Elephas maximus indicus: one gene and its partners. The protein of the gene in region 3 binds, or shares a complex with, the protein of the main gene of each other region. Links are inferred from orthologs where the notes say so. Each region holds a gene or a part of one and is shown on either strand. Other genes may lie near its edges.

Region 1 (7,928 bases), on a different chromosome or scaffold from region 3:
CCTTATGTGGCTGCTGTGAGGATTAAATGATACCCATAATGATCCTGGTACACAGGTAAACGTCAAAGTTATGAACTTCACGGTATTATTCTCCCCATCGGAATGTACTGCCAAAGTCATGGCATAAATGAGAGATACCTGGACACCAGGGTCCCACCTTATACCTATTCAAGAAAAATTCACTTCAAACTCTTCCAAGAAAATAACCTACAAATACCTCGGTTCTAGCCACTAAATATAAAAATTGGCTTTGCGTCAAAGGCCACAAGTTAAACAGTTTAACATCAAATTTCATCCATTCATTCAATTATTCAGTAAGTGCGTATGGAGCACAGTCTCCATCAAGGGTTGTTTTAGGTTCTGAGGATTCATAAGTTGGGTAGGGCAGATACGATTTCTGCTCTGAAGGGGTTTCCGGTCTGGGACGTAGGAACCAGATCAGCTGAAACAGAAAAAACAGCAGAAGTGAGAAAAGGGCAAGAGAGTTTGCAAACATATAACTAATGCTTCAAAACCGGCAGCTTTGGCTGCTTCGGAGGCTTGAATTATTTCCTGTCTCCCTATTCCTTTCTCCATCCTGCACTCTGTACTCCAATGTACTTCTTCTCCTGGGGTTACTCCACATTTAAATCCTGAAGTGTGCTAAAGGCCACATCCATTTCCCTCTTAGGTGCAGGGACACCTGGAATCCTGGAGAAGGAAGATGGCAGCACCACAGTGGGAGGAGTCCAGAAGCACCTGGCCCTGCACAGCCCCTAGACTACCCATGCAGGGGCGGGAGTCCAGATGGCCCTGCACAGCCCCTAGACTACCCATGCAGGGGCGGGAGTCCAGATGGCCCTGCACAGCCCCTAGACTACCCATGCAGGGGCGGGAGTCCAGAGGTGCTGATTCTAGGGAGGTGGAGGAATTCCTAGCTAGCAATCAGTCTTTACTGGACTATGGAGTGGGGGAGGGGGTGGGCGGAACCCGCAGGATCAAGCTTACTAGTAATTTGTAAGGTAATCTGGGATTCCCCTCTAACATGGGAGGTGAAAATGTGCATTTTTCTGGGAATATTCATTCAACCAATACATGAGCATTTACTAGGTACCAAGTACTGTTCTAGGAGCCTCTGCATGGTGCTAACAGTTAAGTGCTCGGGTACTAACTTAAAGATTGGTGGTTTGAACTCACCTAGAGGCACCTCAGAAGAAAGGCCTGGTGACCTGCTTCCAAAAGGTCACAGCCATGAAAATCCTGTGGAGCACAGTTCTACTCTGAAATACAATGGGGTAACCATGAGACAGAAGCTGCTTGAGTGAGGCACTGTTTTAGGAACTGGGAATACATCAGTAAACACAACCGCCAAATTTCCTGCTCTCCCAGAGCGTACACTCCAGAGGAAGATGAACCATACACAGCTTTATACTAAAAAAATTGTTTAGGAATTATGGTGCTAGAGCCGTGGTCCTCAACATTGTGTAACAGCACCACTTGGGGGCACCTTAAAAATCCAGATGAGAGACCCTCTCCCTGACATTCGGGATGGCTGGACCTGGGGTTGAGTTTAGGATCCTACTGAAGCTCCCCATAAGATTCTGTTCCACAGGTTTGGAACAAACCAGTTGTTTCTGAGACAATCAACCAACCAACCCATCGTCTTGGACTCGTGGCGGCCATATGTGTTAGAGAGTGGAACTGCCTCATTGGGGTTTCTTGACGGTAGTCTTTACGCAAGCAGGTTCCAGGCCTTTCCTCCACCGCACCCCTGGGTGAGTTCGAACCACTAACCTTTATGTTAGTACCAAACCAAAAACCAAGTCTGTTGGCGTCAAGTCAATTCCGACTCACAGCCACCCTACAGGACAGACTGGAATTGCCCTGTAGGGTTTCCAGAAAGCGGCTAGTGGATTAGCAGTCAAGCACAAATCATTTGTGCCACCTGGGGACCTCCTTCTGAGAAAAGAGGCTGGAGATGAAGGACGCGCCCCTCACCAAGGAGGGCCACGGGAAATTGGCCACCTCCTTTCAGAAACACAAGGAGGCAATAAGATTTTAAGTTCTGGATATTCCAAGAGAGAAGCATCAACATTCTTTTCTTGGATAAACCAAACCAGTTGCTGTCGAGTCAGTTCCTACTCACGGCAACTTCACGTGTGTCAGAGTAGAACTATGTATGCTCCATGGGGTTTTCAATGACCGATTTTTCGGAAAAAAGATCTCCAACCCTTTCTTCTGAGGTGCTTTTGGGGTGGACTCAAACCCCCAACCCTTAAGGGTAGCAGCCTAGTGCATTACCCTTTGCATCGCCCAGGGACTTCTAGCAAGAATAAAACCCATTGCCTTCAAGTCAATCCCAACTCATAGCGACCCTATAGGACAGAACAGAACTGCCCCATAGGGCTTCGAAGGAGCAGCTGGTGTATTTGACCTTTTGGTCAGCAGCAAATCTCTTAACCCCTGTGCCACCAGGGCTCCCTATAATAAAATAGAATCCTAAAAAAGTGCTTTAAGATATTTAAATATATGTTTACACATTTTTTAAGTTCTAGAAAGTAAATGAATTATCATCATTTAACCTGAAACCTCAAATGAATTCCTTTCCCTTTCCAAATTGAGTATTAATACTACTAATAATATACTTTTATTATATGCCACTTGACGAGTATTTGCTTTACAAGTATTCTCCCATGTAACGCTCCCAAGGACCCCGTGAGGTACTGTTACAGTCTTCTTACAGGGCAGAAAATGAAGGCTCTGAGAGACCACGGAACTTGCCCAAGGTCGCACAGAGTGGACCACGGGAAACAACACTCCGGAGCCCAGCTCTCAACCTGACCCCTGGGGCATACCACTCTCTCAGTCCCCTCAACTCACCTCCCTTATTTAGCATTTGGACTCTCTCCTGTGACTAAAGATGAATAATCAAGTTATAAATCATTAAAAGGAAAAAGAAACCGCTTGGGAAAGTCCTTAACCGCCCAGGCCCATCAAGGGAGTATTTGGATAGGGCAGCCTTCGTGGCGACTGTGTTTCTCCTGCCTGCGGCCGAGCTGGTTCTGTAACCTCACCGGACAGACACACGCTCTCCCCGCCTCTGGGCGGCTCCCGAGGTGGAGCGACCTGGGGCCTCGAATTCTGAGAGGTGGCGGCTGCGCGCCTATGCCCCAGACTCCGTGGCGATCCTTATCTCCTGGCCTCGGGGCGGGTCCCCAGGCTTCCCGGCTCCGCCAGTACCTTGAGTCCAGGGCAAATGACAGACTCCAGAAGTCTCTTCTGGAAGGACAGTTAAAAAGCTAGATGCCATTTAAACGAGGGTTGGAGGTCCGAACCCCTCCAGCCCCTGGGCTTCTCTCCCTCGCCTGTATTTTTCCCTGTGTCCTATGACGTTGGCTCCAAAGTTTAACGGCGTATGGGGGCGTGCGAGGCTCACAGGGATCCCAGATTGGTAGCTCCCGGGATCCTGGCAGATCCCCCGCCAGAACGCGAAACCGCGGGCACACGGCGGCGGGGAGCAAGGGCGCGCCTCCCGGGGGTCTCAGGGGTTTAGAGGGAAATTGGCTGGGAGTGTCGGGGGCGGACACAGCGGGCTAGGTGATCCACAGCCACAGGCGAGGGCGGCAGGAGGCTTAGGGCCAGCGTGAGTGCGTGAGTGTGAGCGCAAGGGTGAGTGTGTGAGCGCGGGGGGAGAGTGTGAACGCGGGGGTGAGCGCGGCGGTGAGGGTGAAAGTGAACGCGGGGGTGAGTGTGAGAGCGGGGGTGAGTGTGAGCGCGAGGGTGTGTGAAAGCGGGGGTGAGTGTGAGCGCGGGGGTGAGTGTGAGCGCGAGGGTGAGTGTGTGAGCGCGGGGGTGAGTGTGAGCCCGGGGGGGAATGTGTGAGCGCGGGGGTGAGTGAGCGCGAGGGTGAGCGCCGGGGTGAGGGTGAGCGCGGGGGTGAGGGTGGGAGCTGGGGTGAGGGTGGGAGCTGGGATGAGGGTGAGCGCGGCGGTGAGGGTGAGCGTGAACTTGGGGGTGAGTGTGAGTGCGAGGGTGTGTGTGTGAGCGCGGGGGGGTGAGGGTTAGCGCGGGGGTGAGTGTGAGCGCGAGGGTGAACGCGGGGGTGAGGGTGAGCGCGGGGGTGAGTGTGTGAGCGCGGGGGGGGTGAGGGTTAGCGCGGGGGTGAGTGTGAGCGCGAGGGTGAGTGTGTGAGCGCGGGGGGGTGAGGGTGAGCGCGGGGGTGAGTGTGAGCGCGAGGGTGAGTGTGTGAGCGCGGGGGGGTGAGGGTGAGCGCGGGGGTGAGCGTGAGCGCGAGGGTGAACGCGGGGGTGAGGGTGAGCGCGGGGGTGAGTGTGTGAGCGCGGGGGGTGAGGGTGAGCGCGGGGGTGAGTGTGAGCGCGAGGGTGTGTGTGTGAGCGCGGGGGGGGTGAAGGTGAGCGCGGGGGTGAGTGTGAACACGAGGGTGAGTGTGTGAGCGCGGGGGGGGTGAGGGTGAGCGCGGGGGTGAGCGTGAGCGCGAGGGTGAACGCGGGGGTGAGGGTGAGCGCGGGGGTGAGTGTGTGAGCGCGGGGGTGAGGGTGAACGCGGGGGTGAGTGTGTGAGCGCGGGGGTGAGGGTGAACGCGGGGGGGAGTGTGTGAGCCTCCCCAACCCCCACCTGTTTGAAGCGGTTTTAAAATCCCGAAGTCAGATTCTTTATGTTTCAAAAGTTTCAGTTTAAGTGAAATACATGCGCTCTTCCTATATATTTTTTAAGTTCTGGAAAGTAGGAGGCGAATTACCATCCTTTAACCTGAACCCTAAAAGGAGCTGCTGGGTCTACGCCTCGGAAAGAAAAGGAGGAGGACGCTCAGCGGTGTGCGAAGGGGAGGAGGGCGGCAGTCGGCTGCTCTCAGGCTCGGCTTTAGGACCCAACGGGAAGCCCGTTGGACTCTTTCGCTCAGGGAAGGAGAGGCGGGGCGGGCCGGATGGCAGGCGGCCGCGGGGCGCATGCGCGCGCGTCTCCTCCCGCCGGCCGCTTCGCTGCGCTCGGCGGCGCGGAATAGAATGAAATGTAACAAAACAAGCCGAGCCTTTGTATCTGCTTAAAGGGGCCGCGGGCACTTCCCTGCTGTCCTCCCCCTCAGCGCCGCTGCGCCGCCGCGTCTCCAGGGCTCCCTGCAACTGGGCTGGCAGGGCTTGCCCCACCTCGGGAGCAGCCGGCCAGCGAGGAAGGACGAGCCGGGCGGGAGGCAAGGAGGAGGCTCCGCATTTCTAAAAGGCAAGAAAGAAAGGAAGGAAGGAAAAAAAAAAAAAACCAAAAAAAAACCCGGAGCGGCGTAGAGTGGACTCTGGTCCGAGCGAGCGCGATCGGGCGCCCGGACGTGGACCGAGAGGCACCGGAACGCAAACAAAGCGCGCGGGCGCCCGTGCAGGCTCGGTGGGGAAGCCCAGAAAGTTTGTTTGACGATGGCCTGAGTGCGCGAGTGTGTGCAGGCGAGCGAGGCCGCCAAGTTCCTCTCCAGGGGCGTTACTGGGAGGAGGTGGCTCTCCTATGAACCACCGGCGGCTTGGAGGCTTGCGCTGGGGGGGCACCTGTCTCTCATTTTATTTTATTTTTTGGAGGAGGGGTGTACCTCGTCATGTCGAAAGTGATCCAGAAGAAGAATCACTGGACCAGCAGGGTTCACGAATGCACCGTGAAGCGGGGGCCCCAGGGCGAGCTGGGGGTGACGGTGCTGGGGGGCGCGGAGAACGGGGAGTTTCCGTACGTCGGAGCGGTGGCCGCGGCCGAGGTGGCGGGGCTTCCTGGCGGAGGAGAGGGTCCGAGGCTGGGCGAGGGGGAGCTGTTGCTGGAGGTGCAGGGGATCCGGGTGTCCGGCTTGCCCCGCTATGACGTGTTGGGAGTCGTCGACAGCTGCAAGGAGGCCGTCACCTTCAAAGCCGTCAGACAAGGTAAGACCGGGCGCGCCTCTGGGGGCGCCCCTGGAAAACTGCACGGCCTGTGGGGTGTCTCCCTAACCGTGATTTCCCGCGTTCCTCCTCGCAGCGAACCCGAGAGGGGACGTTGAGGCTGTGTGCCCTGCAGTAGAGACATACACAAAGTTGTTGCGAGACTGTAGGTTGTTTGCCCACCTGCTTTGGAAGAGGCGTCTGGGTTTGAACAGGGAACCGGGGAGACGTGTCGCGGGCCTGGTTGCCAGCCTGTTATCTCAGCCACCAAACGCAGCGCAGCCTCGCCTGCACCTGGAGGCGAGTTGGGGAACTGAGGCTGGAGCAAAGGTGGACGCTCCAGCAGCTCCTTGGGGGAAGAAGTGCTGCGGGCGCAGCTGCTGACTTTCTTCTGCCATTTTTCTGTTTCCAGACCTGGAAAGTGGGTATGAAGGAAGGAAGGGTCCTCAGTTTACTGGATCCCCTCCACCCTAAAATCGGCTTCACCCCACAACCCCTCGCCTGGCGGTTCCTAAGCCCGCTGCCTGAAGATTCTGCATTCACCCCACAGCCGAATGACGCATGTGTCTCCACCGTTTGGCCCAGCACCGGGCGGGGCGAGGGGGTATTACTCTTAGCGCAAATCTAGACCCAATTTACGCTGTCATTATTATCATCATCCTCTATAATAACGATAGCTACCATTCATTGATTTGTGTTCCGTGCTAGGCTCTGGGTGCTGCCTTACTTGTATGATTTCACTCTGGTTCACAATCCTAAGAAAGAGTTGTTTTTATAAACCCCATTTAACAGATACGGAAACCGGGACTGACATTGGTTAAGTGACTTGCCCAAGGTCACACCCCTACCAAAAGCCTGGTTTGAGTTGCAGAGCCTTAAGCACTGAGGAGGTAGGAGGTAGGGGTTGGGGGATGACCCTTAGGGACTGGAGGGGCTAACTTGTGTCAGGAAGTAGACTAGATTTTCCCCTGAGAAGCCTGGAGGGGTCTACCTCTTAGAGGATGGAAGATGCAGTTGGTTGGGGGAGGAGGAAGAGGGGTGTCTTACATCTTGGTTTGGGACAGCAAGGGGCTGTTCCTACATCAGTCCAGCAGAGAAGACTGGAGTCTCTAAAAGGCATCCCTTGTGTGACCAAACACCATGATGCAGTTCTCTCCCTGAAAACACCAAAGGAGGTGACATAGTTGAGCATGGTAAAGAGGTCCCACATGTGTCTGTCGGTGGACAGCAGCTGGAGGAATGTGTCAAAGGAAAGAAGGCCTGGGCTGGGCTTCTCTTGGAAACAGGCTTGTTCCAGGAAAGGGAAGAGGGGGCAGGGGATAGCTAAGTCTTTGGTAGCTTTGGGAGCTGAGGGGTGGACACTGAGCTATGAAAATCTTTGGCCATTTATGTCCTCATCTCCACTTGGACACTTCCTCCAAGAAGCCTTCCAGGTTCCTGCCAGGATGAACAAATCCTTCTTCCTCTGGGCTCCCTTGATGTGTACCTTGTGGTTTTTAACTTAGAGCTACAAGTTGGGTCCTACTCCTCTTGTCCCAGGTAGTAAGCTTACTGCAGGGAGAGACTGTGCCTCATTCCTAGCCCTTCTCCCCAGCCTTTGCTTGAGACCCACCTCTGAGGGTGTTCCCTTATCTATAAAATGGCTTTCTTCTGGGTGTTATGTAAACTAGTACAGGAAGTGCACAAAACAGTGCCTGGCATGTACTGAGTGTTCAGTAAAGGTGAGTTATTGTTATGTTTGAATTGAATTGAGTACTTACTTCTTTGTAAGGTTAACTTTTGATGTCAGGGACCTGAATTATCAGGATTTGATAGAGTTGTAGGGAAAATACTGTGTCAGGACATTTGATGGGAATGGATGCAGGCATTTTGGAGAAAGGGGTGGAGAAAGGATAGGCCAACCTAGTGGGGTGTCTGGTGGTGTCCGATGGGCCCATGGGGACGTGTTTTCAGTGTGCCCGATGCTGCATATAGCTGGGCTTCCTCTCTTCACTGGCCATCAAAAGAGACAGGAGGCATTGTCCCAGGGCTGCGTCATTA
Region 2 (7,501 bases), on a different chromosome or scaffold from region 3:
TTAAACCCATCCACTTGTGGTATTTCTGTTATAGCAATACTAGATGACTAAGACGACATACTAAGGAGATACCACTGTTACTGAACCCAGGAAGGTGGGTCCAGTGCTCTCAGGCTTGCCAATAATCTGGACACCAGTCTCTGAGAAAGAAAAAGTGACTTTATAGCAATGCACAGAGCAAGGAGCCAAGAGGAAGTTCCTCAGATTTGACTCCCCAAGCTATGGGGAAACGGGGCTTTTATGTGATGTGGGCAGCAAGATGGTGGACGCACAGGTGTACTGGAGAGGGAAATTCTAAAAGGTAGCCAGGAAATAGGAGGTGATATGGTTATTCATTCCACCTGTTGCTGCATCCTCCACCGAGGTCAATTATCCATCACCGCTGGCTCTTCTGCACGTGCGGGGCAGGCCAAATTTGGCTCGGGCTAGTTTAAGGATAGGCATTCACAAGGTCGGGTTACACCACTTCACACCTACCAGACTAGCAAAAATTAGAAAGACCAATAACCCAATTATTAGTGAGGATGTGAGCAGTGGGAACTCTCAGATAGTGAGTATGTAAATAGGTACGATCATCTTGGAAAGCGTTTGGTATTATACGCTAGTGTCTGAACTTGTCTAAATCCATGAGTGATAACCAGGATCAGCACAAAGGAGATTCCTATGAGGTAGAGGTCAGACATACCTCTACTCTCCAATTTTTTCACCATTTCTTACGCCAGCCATTCTCCCCACAGCACTCATAGACTCATAGTGGCCCTAAAGGGCAGAGTATAACTGCCCCATATGGTTTCCAAGGAGTGCCTGGTGGATTTGAACTGCTGACCTTTTTGGTTAGCCGCCGTAGTTCTTAACCACTATGCCACCAGGTTTTCCACCCTTACTCCCAGGCAAGGCTTATTTCTTCCTACTTTGGTCTGTTCTGCATTTTTGCTTTTTGCCTTTATTACTGTAGGTATCATACCATGTGTGTCCCAGTTATCTAATGCTGCTATAACAGAAATACCACAAGTGGATTGCTTTAACAAAGAGAAATTTATTTTCTCACAGTTTATGAGGCTTGAAGTCCAAATCTAGGTACTGGCTCTAGGGAAAGGCTTTCTGTCAGCTCTGGAGGAAGGTCCTTGTCTCTTCAGCTTCTGTTTCCTGGTTCCTTGGTGATCTTCATATGGCTTGGCATCTATCTTCCCCCATCTTTGCTTGCTTACTCTGCTTCTTTTACACTTTGTAAAAGAGTGAGTCAAGATACGCCATACACTAATCCTGCCTTATTAACATAACAAAGACAACCCATTCCCAAATGTCATAATAACCACAGGCATAAAAACCAAACCCACTGCCTTTGCATGGATTCTAACTCATACAGACCCTATGGGACTGCCCATAGGGTTTTCAAGGAGTGGATACCAAAAAAATTAAACCCGTTGCCGTTGAGTCGATTCCAACTCATAGTGGCCCTACAGGACAGAGTAGAACTGCCCCATGGGGTTTCCAAGGAGTGCCTGGTGGATTCCAACGGCCAACCTTTTGGTTAGCAGCCGTAGCACTTAACACTACGCCACCAGCATTTCCAAGGAGCGGGTGGTAGCCCAGAATATATGATCTTGTATTTCACCTCCATCTCCATCCAGCTGTTTGAACAAGTAACATGTTGTTGTTGGTTGCCTTGCTGAATCAGTTCCAACTCATAGTGATCAGATCTTCTAGAATCACCTCCTGTGTTCTTTTCACCATTCCATATTAATTTCAGTGTTGGCAAACAAGGGGCCTTCTGGCTACATCTGCCCCTTGTCTTGTTTTGTTCGTTTAACACAGTAGCTTTAGTTGAGCTTGTTTTTCAATCTGAATTTGAATGCCTTTATATTGGACGTCCACTTTCCAATCCTCCAGGGTTCCTACCAATTCCTGTTGTCTAATTCCAGGTTAGGCGCCCTGGTGGTGCAGTGGTTAATTGCTTGGCTGCTACCCAAAGGTCACTGGTTGGAACCAACCATAGGATCCACAGTAGAAAAGACCTATTTCCTCCTGTAAAGATCACAGCCTAGAACACCCCATGGGGCAGTCCTACTGTGTCATAGAGGGCCGCTAGGAGTAGGAATTGACCCGGCACACAACAGCAACAATTCCAGGTTGTTTCACAGTTTAAAGTCACCTTCCTGGCCCTTAAGGCTTTTGAGTTTTGACCCCTCTCCATTAAGCACACTTTGGAATGTCCTATCCCCCAAATCAGGAGGGCTGGGCTGAAGTTACAGCTAGGTCATCTACCAGTCACACTGTAATGGTAAACTTAAAAAAAAGATGTAATTTTCCAAGTTGCCGAAAGGGAAAGACAACTTTCCCCTCTCTCTTTCTTAAGGACAACTCTTTGAAATGTAAACATCGAGGAATGTAATGCCCTACCTCCCCTCAGGTGGGAATTAGCCTAGGTGCCCTATCCCAAACTGTAAGTACCGCTTGCCATACAGATATTGTTAGGTGTTCTTGAGTCTGTTCGGACTCATAGTGACCCTATGTACAAGAGAACAAAACATTGCCTGGTTGTGAGCCCTCCTCATGATCGTTGTTATGCTCGAGCCCATTGTTGCAGCCACTGTGTCAACCACTTAGTCGAAGGTCTTCTTCCTCTTTTCCACTGACCCTCTACTTTACCAAGCATGATGTCTTTCTCTCGGGACTGATCCCTCCTGATAACATGTCCAAAGCATGTGAGATGATGCCTCACCATCCTCACTTCTAAGGAGCATTCTGTCTGTACTTCTTCCCAAACAGATTTGTTCTGTTGGAAGCCCAAGGTATATTTGATATTCTCCACCAACATCATAATTAAAAGGCGTCAATTCTTCTTCAGTCTTCCTTGTTCATTGTCCAGCTTTCGCATGCATATGAGGTGACTGAAAACAATCACCCTGTTTTCAGGCACACTTCAGTCTTTGAGGTGACATCTTTGTTTTTTAACACTTTAATGATGTTTTTTGCAGTAGATTTGTCCAATGCAATGAGTTGTCTGATTTCACTGCTGCTTCCATGGGTGTTGATTGTGGATCCAGGTAAAATGAAGTCTTTGACAACTTCAATCTTTTCTCCATTTATTATGATGTTGCTTATTGCTCCAGTTGTAAGAATTTTTGTTTTCCTTATGTTGAGGTGTAATCCATATTGAAGACTGTGGTCTTCGATCTTCATCAGTAAGTGCTTCAAGTCCTCTTCACTTTCAGCAAGGAAGATTGTGTCATCTGCATAACGCAGGTTGTTAATGAGTCTTCCTCCAATCCTGAGACCCCATCTTCTTCATATAGTCCAGATTCTTGGATTATTTGCTCAGAATAAAGAATGACTAAATATGAGGAAAGGATATAACCCTGACACACACCTTTCCTTACTTTAAACTACGCAGTATCCTCTTGTTCTGTTCGAACAACTGCCTCTTGATCTATGCACAGGTTCCTCATGAGCACAATTAAGTGTTCTGGAATTCCCATTCTTTGCAATGTTATCCATAATTTGTTATGATCCACACAGTCGAATGCCTTTGCAGGGTCGATAAAACACAGGTAAACATCTTTCTGGTATTCTCCGTTTTCTGCCAGGATCCATCTGAAATCAGCAATGATATCCCTGGTTCCATGACCTCTTCTGATGTGGCTTGAATTTCTGGCAGATCCCTGTTGATGAACTGCTGTAACCGCTTTTGAATGATCTTCAGCAAAACTTCACTTGTGTATGATATTGTTTTATTGTCATACAGATAGAGAAGTTTTATTTTTCCTTTGGATAAGGACAATTAACTAACACAAACGGCCACTCCAAGTGTGAACTACTAAAGAATGTATAACAACTGGTGCTGTCAGGTCCTCTTACATGAGAACACGCATGTAATGGATGGTATCTGCTTGGCTATGAAAAAGGGTGAGATTTCTTTCTGTCTTTGCAATCTCAATAGCAGGGCCTGTGATGCCCATTGCAGGCTGATTTAATGTTTACTGAACAATAAAGTTCTTTTTTTCCCCCTACATTTGAGGAGAGGACTTCCGGGGTATGCAGGAGATTTTATTTTTAATTTTTCCTCAACAATATCAATTTACTAATGCCTCCTACCTTTTTTTTTTTCCTACCTTTATTTAGTCTGCCTCCCCCACGCTTTCAACCAGTTAATTAGGATCGTAATGTGCTCTCCCCTCACCCCACATTTTGCTGCAAGGACCAGGTGAGAAAACGGAACATGTCGGCTGCGGGAACCACGACTCCCAGCATTCCTAGCGCTCCTAGCTCTCGCGGTATCCGCTTCCGATCTGGAGGCTGCTGAAACCGAAAGTGCTGGGCTAAGGAATTGAGATTGATTCACCTTCATCTGAGTAGTTTTAGCCCACCCAGGTGGGAAGCCTGGAGAGCACTAAAACATGAACGGAAGAGTGGATTATTTGGTCACTGAGGAAGAGATCAATCTTACCAGAGGACCCTCAGGTATGTGCTAAACGGCTCCTCCCTGGTAGTAGGGGACATGAAGGTGTGATTGCAGAGCAGACAGTTCTGTCAAGCCAGATTCACTTAGCCTCGGAGCAGGCAGGCCCCAACCTTGACTTTTCCTGCAACTCTTGCAGGCACGTAGGAGGAACGTATTGACACCCGTTGTTGGCCAGACACGGGACTGAGACATCCAGCTCATCTGTCAGAGGCATTATCATACCTATTTATAGTCAGGAAAAGTTTCTTTCTGCTAATAGTGGCAGAAAAACAGAGAAAAAAAGCACACCCCGTTTTTAGCCGACATACCGTGGACACCACGCCCCTTTCCAATCCAGCATCTACCCCTGTTTCTATGACCGACCGTTTAGTAAAACGGGGGAGCGTGATCGGTATGGACTTCGAATGCGTAGTCATTTTCCTGGTGTTAGGCTCCTTCCTTATTTTCTTTTCTGTGTAATTCATTTTGGGTGTTAACGAGTATGTTAAACAGGAAGAGACTCTAGAGATCTTCTATTACAGCATGTCCCAAATCTGATTCCGCTCAGAATTACCCGGAGTTTTTTGTTTTTGCCGTTTCGTTTTTTTTTTTTTTTAAAGTAAAAATGGTAACTCCTATGCCCAAGTTCTAGCGATTTGGATTCATTGCAGACTTTTTTTTTTTTTTTTTTTTTAAAAAGCCTCACATGATTCTGCTGCAGCCAGATCCTCCCTTAACTAAAATAAATGAATTTGTTGACTGACGTCTTCTTGATTTTTCCCAAGCATTTTCATGTCTTTGTCATGTAAGTTAATGAACTTAAGAGCCTAGGACAATAGAGCCACAAACCTAGGATTGAACTTAGATAAAGAAGAGTCATTTGAAGTTTACTTAGGTTTTTTTTTTTTTTTTTTTAGTTTGGTTCAGTTAATTAGGAAGGGTTTCAAGTTCCTGTTTATCACTTCCCAGCACTGGTTACTTGGCATATGGGTACTCCTAAGAAGCCTAAGAGTCTAATTCAGTTTTTCTTCACTGTGTCATCGTGAAGATATGCAAGTGAGAAATCAGTTAGCACTTCTAGAAACTCCCAGGTAATTTTGGTAGTCGCACAGTGATCTTTCTTTCTATAGAAGAAATATGAAAAGCTTCTACTTCCAAATAGGCATTTCTGTTTGTAGGCAGCATTGTCACTCTTTGTACAGCTTCCTACGCAGGGACCTGATGGTTTAATCAGGTAACTGCAAGAGCGTGTATACCTTTGCCCTTTTGTTCCTGTGTTCGGTTAGGGGCAAGAGTTTGGGGTAGTTGCAGGATTTGGGTTCATATTTTGGGGGCATAAGAACCTATTCTGTTTGCCTCAAAGGAAATAATGAAATCTTGGGAAAATAATGACATTGAAGAGAGTGTCTGGGAGGCAAAAAGGAGCTTCGCATGTAGCTTGGCATCTCTCCTATGCCTGCTTCCTAAACTATGAAAGGAGAGACTTGGGCTAGATGACTTCTGAGGTCTCTTCTACCTCCAAGAGTTCGTAATTCTTTGGCCCATTCCACGTGCTGTTTTACGATACCTATCATTTTGGGCTAACTGTGGTTGATCTGAAGAATCCTGAAAGGCAACGGTTGTAATCTCAAATACATTCAGGGGTTGAACAGTTTACCTATTACCTTTTTTAGAACACTGTCTTATCTCCAGCTTGTTTATAGCCTCTGAGGTCCTTGGTCAAGGACTTACCAAAGGTTTAAAGCTAGTAAGTTTCAAGAGCCAGGATTTTTGTGTGTGTGTGTGTGTTTTAGATGAAAGTTTACAGCACAAATTAGTTTTTCATTCAAAAATTTTATGCACAAATTGTTTTGTGACTTTAGTTGCAGTCCCTGCAGTGTGTCAGCACTCTCCCTCTTTCCCTTTCCACACTGGGGTCTCAGAGTCCATTCATCCAGTTTTCTTGTCCCGTCCTGCCTTCTTGTCTTTGCTTTTGGGCAGGTGCTGCCATTTGGTCTTATATACTTGATTGAGCTAGGAAGCACCTTCCTCACATTTGTTATTGTTTGTTTTATAGGCCTGTCTAATCTTTGGCTGAAAGGTGGACTTCGGGAGTCGCTTCAGTTCTGAGTTAGCAGGGTGTCCAGGGGCCGTAGTCTGAGGGGTTCTTCCAGTCACCGTCAGACCAGTAAGTCTGGTCTTTTTTGTGAATTTGAATTTTGTTCTACATTTTTTCATCCTCTGCCTGGGACCCTCTATAGTGATCCCTGTCAGAGTGATCGGTGGTGGTCTAGTTCTTCTAGGCTTAGTCTGATGGAGACTGTGGTTCATGTGGTCAGTTAGTCCTTTGTACCAATATTTTCCTTGTGTATTTGGCTTTCTTCATTTTTTTTTTTTTGCTCCGGATGGAATGGGACCAATAGATGTATCTTAGATGGCTGCTTGCAAGCTTTCAGGACCCTAGATGCTACTCACCAAACTACAATGTAGAACATTTTATTTATGACCTATGTTATACCGGTTGACCTAGATGTCCCCCAAGACCATGGTCCCCAGTCCTCAGCCTCAGTAACTCAGTCCCTTAAGGTTTTTGGATGTGTCTGTGAAACTTCTATGACTTGACCTCGGTCAAGTTGTGCTGACTTCGCCTATATTGTACGTTGTCTTTCCCTTCACCAAAGTTAACACTTGTCTACTATCTAGTTAGTGATATCTCCTCCCTACCCTTCCCTCCCTGGTAACCATCAAAGATTGTTTCCATGGGTAAACCTTTTCTTGAGTTTTTATAATACAATACTTGTCATTTTGTGACTGACTTATTTCACTCAGCATAATGCCCTCCAGATTCATCCATGTTGTGAGCTGCTTCACAGGTTCATCACTGTTCTTTATGGTTGCATAGTATTTCATTATGTGTATGTACCATAATTTGTTTATCCATTCATCTGTTGATAGCCACTTAGGTTGTTTCTATCTTTTCGCTATTGTGAATAATACTGCAATGAACATGAGTGTGCGTATGTTTATTCACGTGACAAAGAGCCAGGATTTTAACCCAAGTCTTTTGATTCTACTGTAGCA
Region 3 (7,635 bases):
TTGTGTTTTAGTATCAAGTCAGAATCGACTCGACGGCACTGGGTTTGGGTTTTTTTTTTTTTATTATTCATTTTTGGAGAGTCCCTGGGTGATGCAAACAGTTAACATGCTTGGCTGCTAACTGAAGAGTTGATGGTTCAGGTCTACCCAGAGGCACCTCAGAAGACATTCCTGGTGATCTACTTCCAAAAAATCAGCCACTGAAAATCCTGTGAGGCGTAGTTCTACTCTGACACACATGGGTCGCCATGAGTCAGAACCGACTCCACAGCAGCTGGCATTTATTTTCAGGAGCTCTCTGAGGACAAGGCTAGGGTCTACCTTAACATTTCTGCCTCCTGGTGTCCACCTCTGGCCTGGGACAGAGTAGGGGCCAGCAGTGTGAGTGATGTGCAGAGAGGGGCCAGGCTGGCCTTGCTGGGAGGGTGACAACGAAATTCTTAAGTGGGGGCTTTGGAAGCAGACAGACTTTGAATTTGCTCTTCGCACTATCCTTTTCTAGCGGTGTGAACTTGGGCAAGTCACTGTCTCTGAGTCTAGTGTCCTTATCTTTGAAATGGAGATGACAGATACCTCCCCGGGAGCTGAGACCCAGGATCTCAGCTCCAGTGCTAGGGCCTCGCAGAACCCACATCATCAAAGATTGCAGGAAAGAATGGCTGCATGCGAGAAGCGCTTAAGTGATAGAAAGTACAGTTCCCCTCGTTACTATAAGCCAGTCCTGGCCTAGGGCCTGAGGCCACCTCCCCACTCAAGGAGGCCTGGGACTAGGGACTCCTCCTCACCTGCCCAGAAGTATGCTGGGAGATGTATCTGGGGACATCTGTCCCACCAGAGGGGCCCATGTCTAGGAGGCCATGTAGATGCTGCCAGCTAGGGAAGGGGCTGTTGGTGTCCATTAGAGCCAGGGGCAGGCAGGTGGGCTTGAGCTGCAGCTGGTGGAGGGAGGCCCAGGGTGGGGGCCTTGGTGGCCAGGGATCAGGCTAGGGGGCTCTGGGCTTCTCTCCCAGCTGCTGTGTGGGAGGAAGTAAATAAAGAGGAAGTGTCTATGAGGGGAGAAAGGGTCCGGGACCAAGGGGATGTGGGCTGGTGCCTGTCCTCCCCCTCCCATCACCAGAGGCCGCACAGCCCCTCCAAACATCCTTCTGTGAAGGCAGTTCTGAAACTGTTTCCTTCCTGTTGCCCGTTCCTGTAGTGTGCTGGCCATAGAAGTTCTTCCTCTGCTTCTAGGGGGCGGGCTGGGGGAGAGGCCAAGCTGGCACTGGCCCCTCCTCTGTTGCTGGACCGACCAGACGTTCTAAGGCTCTCAGGGCTGCCCTGGCCCCCAAGTCCTGGCCTGAGGACTCTGGGTGGCAATGAGAGGCCTCAGTTAAGGGGAACATCTTTCACAACCCCCGCCAGGACGCCACCTGTCAGAGAATGTTGTTATTGGAGGCCCTGCGAGAGCCGGGAAGGGGAAGTCTGTGTGTACGTGGGGGTGTGGATTTCCACATAGGGGATGTCTGTGGAAATGGTTTCCAGCCGTCAGCCTGAGTGTGTGTCTGTGCGCGCTCGTGTCAGTTCCTGTGGGTGTACTGGTATGAGTGAGGAGGTGGAGCCACGTGGTAAGGGCAGGGCCTGGTCCACCCCTATCCCACAGCCACCTGTTCCTCCACCTAGACCTCTGTGTTGAGTTGTCCAGTGGGCAGCCAGGGTCCTTGTCTAGGGGCTTCTGCCCCATTGTCCATCCCAGGGTCTTAGACTGGCAGGCTTCTTCAGGAAGGGCTTGGAGAATGGGGCCTCTGAGCAGGGGCAGGGCTGAGTATGGTGCTTGCTCTGTGGGCTGATGTTTCGGGTGAGCCTAGCCATGAAGGTTGCTATGGGGGAGGGAGTGTCCTCGGGAGTTGGACCAACTAAGTGCTGAGCTATGTAGTTCAAGGCTGTGGCCTTGCTGATTTCTGTTCCCATTCTCTCAGACCCCTCTTGGGGGTGCTGGGATGTCTACTGTGTCCCGGCGTTATCTCTATGTGACTTCTGTGATCCTGTCTCCCCCTTCGGGGAGACAAGTGAGGTGCATCCCCGAGTCATCCTTGGGGCTTCGGGTTTAGGGTCTGCACTATCCCCACCTTGGCAGGGAGCCTGACCCGTCTTCTGTCCCTCCTCCCAGCAGAGGGGGAAGTGAGAAGGAGGGAGGCCATGGACCCTGCCTTCTGGGCTGGTAAGGCTAAAAAAGCAGAAGTAAGGGGAGTAACGGGGCCCTCTGGCCACCAGCTTGAGCCCCACCATGCAGACCCCGGCAGACTTCCCCAGGTTTGAGGGAGACTCAGTTCCCTGTCCCAGAAAGGTGAGCAGAGAGGTGGCCTGCCTCCAACAGTGTCTGTCACGACAACTCTGGGCGAGGACTGGGTTTGGGGGTGGCTATGTCCCCTGGGGTTTCTGGGTGGCTGCCTCTGCCCCCAGAGAGTGTTCTCAGTCAGAGGCAGACAGATGAGGTGGAAGCTCAGATCTTAGAGTGGGGTTAGCAGGCATTGCTGTTTTCTTGGCCCACCCCCGCCTCTCTCTGAGCCAGGCTTTCTGCCTGTCCCTCCAGGGGTTTATACTCAGGGGCCCGATTAGCCTGCAGCTTTCAGTGGCTGCTACACCCACTCCCCCATCTGTCAGGGAGAGTCCTCTGAAGATGGGGCTGTGTCTCTGAGGGTCAGGACCTAGAGTGGGAAGTCCCCAGGCTGATCCTAATGGTGAGGGTGGGGGCAGGCTGGGGTGGGCAGGAAGTGGCTCTGGCTGACTTACCTGCCCACCCTTTCCTGGCACTAAAGGCCAGGCAGAAACCAGGGGAGGGACTTGGGTTCAAGCCGACTCTGCCGCTTGGCTCGTTTTGAGTCTGGGTGAGTCACTGTCCTTCTCTGGGCCTCAGTTTCTTGTTCTCAAAATGGAGATAATGGTTTTTGGGATATTTTGGGTCAGAGTCAAAGTCATCAGATGACATCAGGAGATGGTCTCTCAGCCCACTGTCTTAGTCCTGGGCCTCCTCAGGCTCTGGCGTAGGAAGAAAATCTGAGGGAAACGGAAAACCTCATTGTTGGGTCTGCCATGAATACTGGGCTACTCTCCTGAGTCGTGGGGGTTTGCTGTTATATCTCCTTACCCTTCCTCCTCCCTAGACAAACCAACGAGAACCCAGAATTCTACCCTCCAGCCCCTCAGAAAGGTCTGACCCCCTTTCCTAGGGATCCCTGCCTTGCTGCCTGTCTGTTCGCTGTCACATTCATCTGCTCTGGGCGCCTGACAGTCTACTTGGGCCTAACTGACTCTGACTGTCTCTGTCTGCTACCTGTCTGCCTCAACTATTGAGTTCCTGTGTCTGTCTTTACCTATCAGATACATGTTCCCATTTGTCTCTTCCTGTTGGGCTCGTGTCACCTTCTGTCTCTGCCTGTTGGATACAGGAACTCCTCTTTCTCAGCCTCTTGGGTATGTGTCCCAGCTGTCTTTGCCTGTTGGGTACGTGTCTACATCTGTCTTGCCTGTTAGATACAAGTTCCCATCGGCCTCTGCCTCTTGGGTGAAAGTCCCTGTCTGTCTCCATCTGTTGGGTACAAGTCCCCATCTGCCCCTCTGCCTGTTGGGTGTGTGTCGCTATCCATTTCCCAGTTGGGTACGAGTCCTCATCTGCCTCTGCCTGTTGGTTATGAGTCCCCATCCAGCTCCACTTCTTGGGTTCATGTTCCTGTCTGTCTCCACCTGTGGGATATGTGTCCCCATCTGCCTCTGTCTATTGGATATTTCCCCATCTGCCTCTGCATGTGCCCCTTTCTGTCTGTGCCTTTTGGGTACGTGTCCCTGTCTGTGTCCACCTGTTGGGTATGTGTTTCCTCCTGCCTCCTCCTGCTGAGTATGAGTCTCCTTCTGTCTCTGCCTGTTGAGTACATGTCCTAGTCCATCTCTGCCTGTTGAATGCCTGTCTTTATCTCTCTCCACCTCTTGGGTGCGTGCCCCTGTCTCTTGGGTATCTCCCTTTATCTGCCTCCACGTGCCTCTGCTGTAGAGTTCCTGTCTCTGTCTCTCCTGATGAGTGCATATCTTCACCTCTGCCTGATGGGTGCCTATCTACTCCTCAGCAGATGGGTTGGCCTGGGCCTTTCGCTTTACAGGCCCAACAGGGAGGGTGGGAGGAGGGCCAGAGGGCAGCCCTCAAGCATTGGGGAGGGGAGAAGAGAGAGAGGAAGGGAACAGGGTGAGGGTATAGGCCTGGAGCTGGGAAACCACAGGCCCTGAATGATTGGCGGTCCTGGGCCAGGCCCAGCCCCCGCCCTCACCCTGCACATCCGCCTTGAGCCTGGCCACCTCCGCGGCAGCCCCGACTCTGCCTGCTCCTGCCATGGTGCCACGGCCCTGCCGGGCGAATGGAGCAGGATCCCAAGTCGCCCCGTCTGCGGCTTTGGGCCCTGCTCCCCTGGCTGCCCAGGAAGCAGCGGCCCAGGATCAGCCAGACCTCGCTGCCTGCCTCAGGCCCTGGCTCTGGCCCCCGGCGGGACTCGGTGAGTATGTCCAGATGTCTGGCCCTGCCCAGCTATGGCCCTGGGAGCAGGTGCCTAGGCAGCCAGTTTGGCCTAAGCTGGCTTTGGACTGTCCTAGCCCAGGCCTGGCTGTGTTGGATGGCTGAACCCTGCCCAGAGTTGCTTCCTGGGAAAGTGAAGAGGCGCTTCAGGGCTCTAGGGCAATGGTAGTAGGTTGGAGGAAGGGAAGAGGGGTCCTAGAATAGCCAGGACCTGGCAAGGGGCTTCTCATAGGCTTGTATGAGGGAAGTTTGGGAGGGAGGGCATTGAGTCTGGCGTTAACTCCCAACCGCCCCATGTTGGCACTTACTGGGTTGGTGGTAGAGTCCCAGATGACGCTTAGGTCTCTGTGTACTTCAGCCCTGTCCTACCTGCCAGAGGGATCCCCCCGTTTCCCATCCTGATCAGGAACAAAGGCTCAACTCCACCTCCCCACTATGAGAACAAACCCTACTTCCTATTGTGGTAAAACCAAAAACCTTTGCAGCAGGGGGAGGGGAGCCCCACAGGGAGGGCCTGGGGCAGGCCTACTACGGGCCTCAGCCAGAGCCTGGGGTTGGGGGATTCCCTCCTGCCCATGCCTGGGCATCCCAGGCCAGAGCAGCAAGAAAACAGGAACACCTTGGTGGTTTGACCCTCTCTGACCTTTGAGGCCCTTTTTGGTTCGGTGAACTGGAGGCTGACTGTATTAGGGTGGCTGTCTGGTCAGGCCTGTGCGGCCCTGTCTGGTGAAATCTGCTGGGAATGGACTTGGATTTGGGGGACGGTGCCTCCATGCTCACCGACTCTGTCTCCCCACCAGGATGAGGGCATCCTCAAGGAGATCTCCATCACACACCATGTCAAGGCTGGCTCTGAGAAGGCTGACCCATCCCATTTCGAGCTCCTCAAGGTTCTGGGCCAGGGATCCTTTGGCAAAGTAAGTTCTGAGCCCACAGCTGGGAGGGCAGCACTGGCCATGTCAGAGGTGGGAGGTGAGGGGTCACCTCAGAGCCCAGAGTGAGAAGAGTAACTTCTGGGGTCACTGGGGTGAGGGGTCACCTTTGTGCTCAAGGGATCAGGGGCAAGGGTTGATGGGCTTTTCTCCCACTGCCTTCCCAGGTCTTCCTGGTAAGGAAGGTCACCCGACCTGATAGCGGACATCTATATGCTATGAAGGTACTGAAGAAGGCAACACTGAAAGGTGAGTGGGGAGCACCTCCCCATGCGAGCCCAGGCTGGGCACAGGGTTGATGGAGACAGCCTAGTCCTCAGGGCCTTTGGTCTGATGGGAGAGGTAGCCCTATTCTCAGGAGCACCTAGTCTGAGGGAGGAGAAACCGGCCTACTCTCAGCTGCCTGCCATCCCACCCCACCTGATGGGGAAGACAGGGTCCACTTAGAAGAAAAGACTTCAAGCCGTTAACCCTCCACCTGATCCCCACCATCACTAATGAAGCCACATGCCAATGGCTAAGGCTGAAGGTGGTTGTCTAGAAGAAGGTAGTGGGGCAAATGCAATGTGTTTGTGGTGTGGTGGGGGCCCTCTAATATGGTTAGGCAGAGGTGTTCTAACTGTCAGTAAAATTTGGGGAGACCTCTCTGGACTCATTGGAGGAGAAGGGCATGAGAGAAGAGGCAGGAACCCAGGGAGCCAGGTGGGCCAAGAGAAGGTGAGGTTGAGGCAGGGCCATGGAGATGGATGGCACAGGGGTTCAGAGGGAGCATGAGCCAAAGTCTAGCATTTTGAGGACTTACAAGGGGTGTGCGGGTGGTTGGTGGAGGGCTTTGGGCTGGACATTGACTCTTTGATTGGTTCGGGAACCAGTGTGGCTGCTGACCAAGTGAAGTGGGGGCAATAGGAGGCCTTAGAGATGTTATGGATCATGTGGCCCATGAAGGGCTGTCTGGAGTGTTGGTAGCTTTGGTGCCTCTGGGCCAACCTGAGGTAGGGATGGGAGTCATTCCCCAGGAGGGATGGTGGGAGCCACAGGGAAGGAGAAAGATGAAGACATTTGGTCCCTGCCCGGGAAGGCCTCCTAGGCTGGGCAGGAGAAGCTAAAAGACCGTCAGACTGGAGAGATGGGCAGGGGGCCAAGGGCCCATCCCTGGACCTTGCATAAGGGGCAGGGACAGGAAGCAAACCAAGGAGCCAGACACAGAATAAGAGCAAAGGAAGAAACCTGAAGATTGAGTGTGCCCACAAGCCCTGGGGAGGAAGCTCCGGGAGCTCAGACCTGGAAGAACAAGTAGAAAAGAGGGTCCTTCTTAGCCAGGGTTTGGAGAGTGGCTGGCTATGTGGGTGGCTGGACTACTGGGAGGGCTCTAGCGTGACGGCCTTTCTCCTCTGGCCAGTCCGTGACCGGGTCCGGACCAAGATGGAGAGAGACATCCTGGCTGACGTCAACCACCCATTTGTGGTGAAGCTGCACTACGGTGAGACCACAGACCTACCTGCCCTGCTCACCAGCCTTCACCCTTGCCTCTGGGGTGCTGCCTTCCCTGTACCTTATGGCACCTCCCACCAAGCAGGCCAAGAGAGCGGGAGGAGGCAGGGGAGTAGGTTCCAGAGCCTAGCTGGCTCTACCATTGCATCTTCCCCTCTCCCCAGCCTTCCAGACCGAGGGCAAGCTCTATCTCATTCTGGACTTCCTGCGTGGCGGAGACCTCTTCACACGGCTCTCTAAGGAGGTGAGCCAGCACCCCCCTACCAGAGGACCCTAGAATGGAGCTGTGGAGAGAACCAGGCCTCCCATCCCAGGGCAAGCAACGTGGCCAGGATCTGGGACCACGCAGGCCTGCCTAGCAGTCCCTCAACCTGGAAATATCACCCACCCTGGGACAGAGCTCTGGTAAAGCTTCTGAGAGTTCCCCCAAGGTGGGCTGTAGAGGTCAGGCCCTGGATTCTGATGCTAACCTGACTCCAGGGAGTTAGGGGTGGCTCTCATCTCTCTACCTCTGTTTTCCCAGGGCTGCCCTGGGCAGGGCCGTGAGGATGAGGGAGAAGCTCAGATGCACCCAGAAGGCTAGAAACTTTGTTTTTGTCCCGCTTGTTAACTAAAAGGATTTTGAACTAATATAAAAGGGTTTGAGCCAGATATAAAAAATGGGACCGTTAATAC

What was found. Proteins that work in one complex are often made in the same cells at the same time.
Region 1: the proteins of RPS6KA1 (region 3) and MAGI1 are in contact, whole or in part, in a crystal structure (PDB 5N7F), measured with the Homo sapiens proteins. The link is inferred for Elephas maximus indicus from reciprocal best matches to the Homo sapiens genes RPS6KA1 and MAGI1. Residues at the interface, in NP_002944.2 of Homo sapiens: Pro731, Ser732, Thr733, Thr734, Leu735; in NP_001028229.1 of Homo sapiens: Arg480, Gly481, Phe482, Gly483, Phe484, Thr485, Val486, Val487, Gly488, Asp490, Lys499, Ser500, His532, Val536, Phe539, Gln540.
Region 2: the proteins of RPS6KA1 (region 3) and SYNJ2BP are in contact, whole or in part, in a crystal structure (PDB 7P74), measured with the Homo sapiens proteins. The link is inferred for Elephas maximus indicus from reciprocal best matches to the Homo sapiens genes RPS6KA1 and SYNJ2BP. Residues at the interface, in NP_002944.2 of Homo sapiens: Pro731, Ser732, Thr733, Thr734, Leu735; in NP_060843.2 of Homo sapiens: Arg18, Gly22, Leu23, Gly24, Phe25, Asn26, Ile27, Val28, Gln33, Ser45, Arg46, His78, Val82, Phe85, Arg86.

What each region holds. Positions count from the first base shown.
Region 1 is NC_064838.1:71,687,555-71,695,482, reverse strand, and holds the start of MAGI1 (membrane-associated guanylate kinase, WW and PDZ domain-containing protein 1), read left to right. Parts: upstream 1-4,708; 5' UTR 4,709-5,578; coding exon 5,579-5,891; intron 5,892-7,928. UniProt on the Homo sapiens protein: Plays a role in coupling actin fibers to cell junctions in endothelial cells, via its interaction with AMOTL2 and CDH5. May regulate acid-induced ASIC3 currents by modulating its expression at the cell surface.
Region 2 is NC_064828.1:83,064,486-83,071,986, reverse strand, and holds the start of SYNJ2BP (synaptojanin-2-binding protein), read left to right. Parts: upstream 1-4,281; 5' UTR 4,282-4,397; coding exon 4,398-4,461; intron 4,462-7,501. UniProt on the Homo sapiens protein: Regulates endocytosis of activin type 2 receptor kinases through the Ral/RALBP1-dependent pathway and may be involved in suppression of activin-induced signal transduction.
Region 3 is NC_064821.1:67,006,952-67,014,586, forward strand, and holds the start of RPS6KA1 (ribosomal protein S6 kinase alpha-1), read left to right. Parts: upstream 1-4,218; 5' UTR 4,219-4,382; coding exon 4,383-4,517; intron 4,518-5,337; coding exon 5,338-5,454; intron 5,455-5,636; coding exon 5,637-5,718; intron 5,719-6,868; coding exon 6,869-6,949; intron 6,950-7,124; coding exon 7,125-7,204; intron 7,205-7,635. UniProt on the Homo sapiens protein: Serine/threonine-protein kinase that acts downstream of ERK (MAPK1/ERK2 and MAPK3/ERK1) signaling and mediates mitogenic and stress-induced activation of the transcription factors CREB1, ETV1/ER81 and NR4A1/NUR77, regulates translation through RPS6 and EIF4B phosphorylation, and mediates cellular proliferation, survival, and differentiation by modulating mTOR signaling and repressing pro-apoptotic function of BAD and DAPK1.